Daphnia pulex: one gene and its partner. The protein of the gene in region 2 interacts with the protein of the main gene of each other region in a pairwise test. Links are inferred from orthologs where the notes say so. Each region holds a gene or a part of one and is shown on either strand. Other genes may lie near its edges.

What was found.
Region 1: the proteins of protein bicaudal D-like (region 2) and clathrin heavy chain 1 interact in binary tests that used the Drosophila melanogaster proteins (3 or more experiments, as listed by UniProt). The link is inferred for Daphnia pulex from reciprocal best matches to the Drosophila melanogaster genes BicD and Chc.

Annotation. Positions count from the first base shown.
Region 1 is NC_060017.1:1,777,784-1,782,385, reverse strand, and holds the start of clathrin heavy chain 1, read left to right. Parts: upstream 1-1,732; 5' UTR 1,733-2,035; coding exon 2,036-2,077; intron 2,078-2,553; coding exon 2,554-2,761; intron 2,762-2,829; coding exon 2,830-3,260; intron 3,261-3,319; coding exon 3,320-3,433; intron 3,434-3,558; coding exon 3,559-3,732; intron 3,733-3,809; coding exon 3,810-3,986; intron 3,987-4,049; coding exon 4,050-4,602. Other genes in the region: TWiK family of potassium channels protein 9-like, read left to right, coding at 1-310, 399-525, 808-1,292. UniProt on the Drosophila melanogaster protein: Clathrin is the major protein of the polyhedral coat of coated pits and vesicles.
Region 2 is NC_060027.1:4,510,256-4,514,505, reverse strand, and holds the start of protein bicaudal D-like, read right to left. Parts: upstream 2,885-4,250; 5' UTR 2,621-2,884; coding exon 2,420-2,620; intron 2,257-2,419; coding exon 2,062-2,256; intron 2,000-2,061; coding exon 1,829-1,999; intron 1,771-1,828; coding exon 1,533-1,770; intron 1,471-1,532; coding exon 1,100-1,470; intron 1,031-1,099; coding exon 824-1,030; intron 772-823; coding exon 558-771; intron 491-557; coding exon 191-490; intron 124-190; coding exon 1-123. Other genes in the region: guanine nucleotide-binding protein-like 3 homolog, read left to right, coding at 4,041-4,056, 4,163-4,250. UniProt on the Drosophila melanogaster protein: This protein is essential for differentiation. It may play a role in localizing of Nanos (a maternal determinant) activity in oocytes. Functions redundantly with BicDR.

The DNA of each region.
Region 1 (4,602 bases), on a different chromosome or scaffold from region 2:
CATGATGCAACAAATGAACGGACCCCAGAGAGGTCGACGGTCTCAGCATCACGGCCGGAACAATCGACCAATAACTACAGCTCCCGGGTCCACTCGTCCCGGCCGTGGAAATAACGCGGAAACGGAAATGGGCCCCGGGGGCGGAGCGATCGATTACCCGCCGTCGACACCCACCAGCCCCAGTACGCCGAAAACGAACGATCCCAACGCCATGGAGAGCGGATTCTTCAACAACAAATATGCCGATGATCAAGCGGACAACAACGGCCGGAACAAAACCGATCATCCAGCCGATGCCGTCAATAAATCGGTATTTATTCGTCAAGTCAATTCAATATTGATCACCAACGCGACAAAAATTGTGAAATCCCTCTCCGCATTGTCTACGACTTTGAAAGGGAGTCGATAGAAATCGCGGCGGGAGCGACAAGCGGCACGACCGTTTGGAATTGGAATCTGATCTGGACGGAGTTGAAGGCAAGGAAATGATGCGACCAATGGCTCATCGTTATTCCAACCGATCACGTAAGTTGGCTGGGTAAATAAATAAATACCTTCTTCTTTTATCATGGGTGGGTGTCGGATGAGTCAGTGGATATTTGGAAGCGAACAAAAAACAAGACGACGTCTCTATCTTAGTTAGAGTGTCGAGAACTGCCAGAAAAGAATTAAGGCGGTTTTTCATCTAATCTAGTTTTTCCTTTTTTTCCTTTCTTTCTTTCTTCGGTGGGTGGCCGTGGGTTGTGACTCGATCCGTTTTTATCGATCCTCCCATTTTGGTGACGTAACAATGACGCACGCACGTAGCTGGAACGTCTGGAGCTGGCAGCGGCAGCGGCGGCAGTAATCGTCTCAGCCGACTGACGGAGCAGGAAGAAGTCGACTACGATGACGATTACGTCTACGAGGACGACTACATCGACTCGGAAGAAGAAGAAGATGTCCATCACAACAAACCGGTGCCCATCTGGTTGAGCATTTTACTGGTGGTCGGTTACATCTTTGGCGGGGCCTTCCTCTTCAGCGGATGGGAGCAGTGGTCCTTCCTGGACTCGGCTTATTTCTGTTTCATTACTCTGACCACAATCGGTTTTGGCGACTTTGTTCCGGCGCAAAACGTCAAAGAAAACGTCGAGATCAGCATTGCCCTCTGCTCACTTTACCTGCTCTTCGGTATCGCTCTGCTGGCCATGTCCTTTAATCTGGTCCAGGAAGAAGTTATCAATTCGGTTAAATCCGTTGCCAAACGATTGGGAATTATCAAAGATGACGATGATGAGGATGACCGATAAGAAAAAGCCAAGCTGACCACAATATTAAAAAAAAAACATAAACAAAAAAATACAGTCCACACACACACACAAACTTCTTAAATATGATCAGTTTCACTCATTTTTCTCTATATTTCTTTTGTTGGTTACATTTTTCCTTTTCTCTTTTTGCTATCTCGTTTTGGTGAGTGATTAATAATCTGTGCGTTGCTGCGTAACGGTGAAATAGATCATCATGCTCATATTAAAATCTGTTCTATAATTTCGATTGTACATTTAATTTTCTTAGAATTATATTTGGCTTTTTTTTAAATGGGGGCGTAATGATTTTAAAACATTTAAATTTCCTTATGTCCACGTCCCGCCATATAGTAACTTCACGAAAGGGGGCGGTTCCAATATCAAATTCACGCGCAAGATAGATCCAGAATAAAAGTCGCAATCCGTGAAATATTTATTGAAAATATCGGAATTGGAAACAATTTTATGAATTAACTAGTCATTTAACGCATATTTATAAGTATCTATTTGTACTTAAATGCACATTTTGAAAATTATTTTTGGAAAAGATGGCGGCGGTGGCAGCGGACTAGCGGATGGATACACAAAATTCTGACTTGCGTTGGCAAAGCCGTGTTTGATAGGGCCGATTTCTGTAACTTGTGTGACAGCACTCTATCCGTTCGGTTTCTCAGGAGGCTATTTGGAAAAAAGTCCCGATCTAGAAGAGTTTGTACCTTAGATTGTACCATCAGACCGTCATAATGGCGCAGATGTTACCCATCAGGTTTCAAGAGCATCTCCAGGTATTTTTTACCTTAATTTTGATCATTGTTTAAGTAAAAACCTTTATGGGTTTGACAGCCTGATTGTGGCCGGCCAATGACTCACACCGGCAATTCATTTTTTTAACGGATTGTACGGCTTTTCCGGTCCTGTAAAATGGCTTAAATGACGCACCTGCTTTTTTGGTTTCGTTTCAAGTATGAAACAAGTATATCGTTTAATAACTGTTGCAATGGGTATCAAGTGACATATACTTGCCAAGTCACACCTTTCGCAATCAATAGTTTTCAGCCATGATAAACGAGAACCTGATTTCACAAAATTTTTTCCAATTTATTTTGTGTGGCTTGAAGACTGACCACTTGAATTTTAAAGCTGTAATTGAGGTTGTCTGCATATGTAAGGGTTCCATAATCAATACTTGTTATTTGCAAGGAAGTGTTCTTGTTTCCCGATCACACATTTATGAGTGCTTCTTTTTTCACAATTTACACAGCTCACAAGTATTGGGATCAATGCCGCCAACATTGGATTCAGCACTCTCACCATGGAGTCGGACAAATTCATCTGTGTCCGAGAGAAGGTGGGAGAAACAGCACAGGTGGTCATCATTGACTTGCATGATCCAACCAACCCTATCAGAAGACCGATCTCTGCAGATTCAGCCATCATGAATCCAGCCAGCAAAGTGATTGCTCTAAAAGGTAAGTGTTCTTGAGTAAGTAATAGCATGATGGGTGTATGATTGTCTTTTTATGTTGACTTTTATTAGCTGGAAGAACCCTCCAGATTTTCAACATTGAAATGAAGTCAAAGATGAAGGCTCACACCATGACGGAAGACGTGGTGTTTTGGAAATGGATTTCTGTAAATACCATTGCCCTAGTCACCGAGGGTGCCGTCTACCATTGGCCCATGGAGGGTGATTCGCTTCCGCAGAAAATGTTTGACCGCCACTCCAGTTTGACAGGCTGTCAAATTATCAACTACAGAACGGACGCCAAGCAAACGTGGCTACTTCTTATTGGCATATCCGCCCAGCAAAATCGCGTCGTTGGAGCAATGCAACTTTACTCTGTCGAAAGAAAAGTCAGCCAACCCATCGAAGGTCACGCTGCTGCCTTCTCACAGTTCAAAATGGAGGGAAATCCTGAATTCTCTACCCTGTTTTGCTTCGCAGTCAGAAGTGCTCAGGGCGGAAAGGTAAACATTTAACCATTGTCGTCATTTCGATGAGTTTCAATCTTTAAATTTCCTCGCAGTTGCATATCATTGAAGTGGGAACGCCGCCAACCGGAAATCAGCCTTTTGCGAAGAAAAATGTCGATGTTTTCTTCCCACCCGAAGCCCAGAACGACTTTCCCGTAGCTATGCAGGTAAACTCTTATTTCCTTTCATTTAAAAAATGAATAATTTTGTACGCCGCAATAGAAACGTTTGTGAAAAACGATCGAATGTACTTTGACATTGTGTGTTTATTGTTAAATGTTGTTGTTTTTAGGTCAGCCCGAAACACGACGTACTGTATTTGATTACAAAGTACGGCTACATTCATTTGTATGACATGGAGACTGGTACCTGTATCTACATGAACCGAATTTCGGCAGAAACTGTATTCGTCACCGCCCCACACGAGCCCTCTTCGGGTATCATTGGGGTCAATCGCAAAGGCCAAGTATGTTTTGGTTTTCTTTTTTGTATTCTCCAGTGTTTTGAAAGTGTTGAAATGTAATGCTAACTTTTGAAAATCAGGTTCTATCTGTCAGCGTTGACGAGGATACCATCATCCAATACATCACGACGGCCATGCAAAATCCGGATCTTGCGTTGCGAATTGCTACTCGCAATAATCTTGCTGGGGCTGAGGAACTTTTTGTCCGCAAATTCAACACACTCTTCCAGGGTGGACAGTATGCCGAGGCCGCTAAAGTACATCTACCTTGCTTGTCGTATGCTTTGTTTGGTTTTAATGTTAGATTTATTTGTACCTAGGTTGCCGCCAATGCACCGAAGGCCATTCTGAGAACACCAGCCACAATCCAGCGCTTCCAAGCAGTGGCCGCTCAGCCAGGCCAAACTTCCCCGCTATTGCAGTATTTTGGAATCTTGTTGGATCAGGGACAGTTAAACAAATTTGAGTCCTTGGAACTATGTCGTCCCGTTCTTCAGCAAGGTCGCAAGCAGCTGCTAGAAAAGTGGTTGAAAGAGGATAAACTTGAATGCTCTGAAGAGCTTGGTGACTTGGTGAAACAGGCCGATCCTACTTTGGCCCTATCGGTTTACTTGCGAGCGAACGTGCCCAACAAAGTTATTCAGTGCTTTGCTGAAACTGGACAGTTCTCCAAAATTGTTCTGTATGCAAAGAAAGTGGGTTACACGCCCGATTATGTGTTCCTGCTACGTAGTGTCATGCGCATCAGTCCCGATCAAGGAGCAATGTTCGCTCAGATGCTGGTGCAAGACGATGAACCGTTAGCCGACATTGCCCAAATTGTTGACATTTTCCTTGAGCAAAACATGGTCCAACCGTGCACGGCGTTCCTTT
Region 2 (4,250 bases):
CTATCGACTTTTCTGTCTCGTATTTTGACTTAAGATTTGCCAGTGCAACTTCGGCTGTTTGTTTGTTAGCCTTGACGACAGTGCGTAGAGTGGCAATTTGCTCTCTTTTGGTTGAGAGCAAAGCTGAAGCAAAAACAAAGTTTCCCGTTACACTTGATAATCCTAATAATACTTTTTGACAATAATATACCTTTGAGCTTAACAATTTGTTCTTGGAGTTCAGCGACATCTGACTCGAAGTTGTCTCGATCCTTGTCTGATACCAAGTCGTTGGGTGTGTCTTTGGTGTGGCTTTGTTTGACCAGCATTTCAGCAGCTCGGCGCAACAGACGAACTTGCTCTTGAAGCATGTGCAAGAGTCGAGTAGGATTTTGAAGAGAAGTGACTGTAACACTGGATTCTGGTGAGATGTTCTCCTTATTGTATTCGGAACCGATAGAGGTTGGTCCAGCGACATCCGAAGCTAAGCTACTAGGTCCACTGCCAGCATCTATTGTAGTTGTTGAATCTTAAGTCAATATTCAAAAGCAAATTCATTTTAACTAAGTTCTACTTACCAGTTGAGCTCCGGATAATTCCTGCATGGGACCCTGATCCTGCCTGAATGCCTACGGCAGCACACAGATGTAGCGTAAGGGCAGTGATGTCATCTACAAGAGGAGATAGTTCAGACTGAAGTGCTACCAATGTAGCTCGACTATCACCAGCCGACTCGGAGGAGGCCGCAATTTCAGAGTGAAGAACTGACACTTTTTGCTCTGTATCTAACAACTACACGAAAAGGTGAGTAAATGTCTAATTAAAAAGGTATTACAAAAATTACCCTCTTCTTCAACGCGATGAAATCTTGTTCCATATCAGTTGGTAGTTGACCGGTAGATGCTCCTCGGAGAGCCCATAATTCTTGTTGAGCTTGCTGAAGTTCCCTAACAGCCAGCGCGGTACGATGCTTGAATTTATCAACCAATTGCTGAAGATACGTAGACTTGCCAGGAGCAGAAGACGGCTCTGATGGTGTCCGATCAATTTCCTACGAAAAACAAAAAATAATCATTTGAAACCTTAAAAAAAAATCAGAAAAAATAGAAAATAGCTTTACCGAAGCATTAGTAGGAGTTTCCACAGTTTCGTGAAGGTGAAGTAGGCTAGCCAAATACGCATCCAGTTTGGCCAGTTGAACATGTCTGGATGCTGCTTCGTGTCGGGCAACATCGGAGGAATCTTGGGCATCTCGTAGACGTTGAAACAACATCCCTTTTTCCGCTTCGACTTGTTCTAGCTGTCTTTCTAGTTTCTTGACTTCGTTCAAGTGAATTTCACTAAACAAATCTCCACCACCCTTGTTGTTCCCATCGCCCCCTTCTGTCCCGTCATTGGTTACACCACCAGTTTTCAGGAATGAGGCTTCAAGTTTTTGCAACAGTGGACCGTCGTCTTCACCTTCACTTGCCCCATGTTCTTCAGATAGTCCTTTAATACAAAAAAGGAAATGACAGAAACATAAATTAAATAAAAATTGGTTTCACAATTACCTTTAATGCTGAATGCTAAATTGCTCAAATTGAACATGGATTCACTAGTCATTCTTGCATCAAGATCTTTCTTGATAGCATATTTGGCTTCTCTTTCAGCTTGTAGGGCATCTAATGCTTCTTCCATCTGTTTTTCAGCTAATTTTCGCAAATGCGCCAACTCTGCATTTTGTTGATTGAGCAGCTCGAGTTCTTCTTGCAATCGACGTAGTTCATGTTTGTCTCCCTCTAGTTCAACCTAGCCAAAAATATTTGGTTAAATGGAATACTGGAAGGAAAATCATTTTCAACATTACCTGAGAAGACCTCAACACAGACACTTGCTTTTGAAGACTGATGTTTTCTTCCTCCAACTCTGAGTAATCACTAAGAAGGCGGGTCTCTCTGTATTTGAGTTCTTTCAATTCAGCTTTTAAAGTTTTTCGTTCAAAAATGTAGACTTCCCTCTCTTTCCCAGTATCATTTAACTAATTCAAAAGTGAATAAAATATAATTACACAAGTGAGACTTGCATATTATTTTACTTTACTTGTTGAGTGAGTTGGTCTCTTTCAGCTGTCACCCTTTCCAGTTCAAGGCGCAAATGCTTTGTGTCAGCTTCAAGATCAAGGATTTGAGAGTTGAGAGATGTTTCTCTTGCAGCTGATTCATATAAAAGAGATTCTTCGGTTTCTATGCCACTCTTGGTTGTAACCTTGTGACTATTCTGGAAGCGAGCAAGTGCCTGTATACATAATGTTACATCAAATTATTAAGACATATCAAGAAAAAATATCTGATGTATAAAACATAAGAACTCAATGTAGAGTAACTAAACAGATATACAGGGTGATAGCACAAGGTATGTGATGGTGCAATCCATTTAAATAAAAAGCATAGAAGGTTACCTCACGGGTTAATGCCAACTCATGTCGAGCGTTCTCAAAGAGACTTTCAAGTTCTTCACATCTGTGTTGAAGATTTTCTTTCTCTTCCAGTAAAACAATCCCATATTGAGCGGACTGGATTTTTTCACTGTTCGTCTGGTCCAGCTCTCTCGTCAACCGTTCGATTTCCAAGTTTAAAATTTCTACGTTACCCACTTCCATTTTATGGTATCAATTAAAACGAGTGCTTAACCAGTGCTTAATAAGGAGGGAAATTGTAACAGTTAAAAACGATGGGTGCAGCGAAAATAAACGAGAGGTTTCACGAGGATTGGTGAAGGACGGTAGCCATGAGTGAAACTGTCAAGACCAGACCCTGCAAAAAATGAACTGAACAGCTGACCACATATGCCCTCAAAAGAAAGGCATGGTAACCAGGAAAAACTTTAACAAAAATAATAATCTATTAAAAATATGAATCTCTCGTTATTTTAACTTGAAAAAAAATTTGTTTTAAAAATAGACTTATTTTATGATTTTTAGTGTCAGTCGTGAAACGTTTTGAGAAATCACAACAAAGTAGCGAGGAGGTGTGGCAACCAAGAGTAAATAGTTCGTCTGTTCTGATTGCGAATATTTTGATACTTTTTCAAATTTACAAGGTATTGGTGTATTGTTCTTCTCATTGGAGCTTTTAGCTAATTAAGTATTTGTTTCATTAATAAAAAAACTCTGGTGATTAGTTTTATAATCCACTATAGCCTAGTTGTATCAGTCAATATTTATTGTGTTTTGGTAAATTGCAGATGATCGTCCTGAGAACCTGATTGCCGGTCGTTTTGTAATCTTAAAAAACAAATACGAGCTCTGAATACGAGTAGGAATGTCATCAGATGAAGAAGCGCGAGTCTGGTTAAGAGAACACTTTCTGCGAACACTAACCAAACTCAATGGTAATCAAAGCTTTATATAACATAACCCAATTGTATTTTAACTGTTATTTATTCTATTTATAGGAGTGGAAGCTGTTTTCACTATGCATGAAAATATTACAGTTACTGGTCAATATGAATGCTCCAGTGCTGATTTAAAATATTTTCATGTCTCTGGCCTAAAAACTCCTTTGGGGAACTGTAAACAATCTCTTTTGAGATCTAGTGATGTAATCAGCATTGATTTCAAAACACCTTCCAGTCTATTCCCTTTACCAGTTTCAACTACTGTTTCCAAAGATTGTTTACAGAGTCAATAAATTTGTTTGGTTCAACAGTTGTTTTGTCATTCTTTAGAAATTGGAAGTGCTTTTGCTTTCTTCTCTAGTCTTTCAGGTTCTTGGCTTGCTTCTTATTTTAAAATTCAAGCCTATTAAGAACTGACAATTGACAAATAAGAAAAAATTTCTGCTTAACGTGCGAATTGTATTACATAATCAATAACAAATAACCCTTAAAATTTAGTCAGAATTTTTTAAAATTTTAAATAATGAAGGAAGAAAAATTATGGTCAGAAAAGGCTTCAGCATCGGTAGTTCACAACGGTATGTCAAAAATTGATTTTCGTCTGCTCATTAGTCCACTAGCTTTTCTGTTAGTGTTACTTGGCCACGTGCGCTGTTGAACATTCGTCACCAAGCAGTTTTAAAATGAAGAAACAATTACGTATGTTATTTATCATTCACTTTATGTATTCGCACTTATTCGAGAGTTTTTTTCTTTTGTATAATCCTAAGAATATCAAATATATTTTCCTTTTTAAATTCTCTAGGCGCTAAAAGTCACCGATTGCCTCTCAGGAGGAAGTATACTATCCTTAAAAAGATCAAGGAACACAAGAGAAAGGTTAATCGTGATTT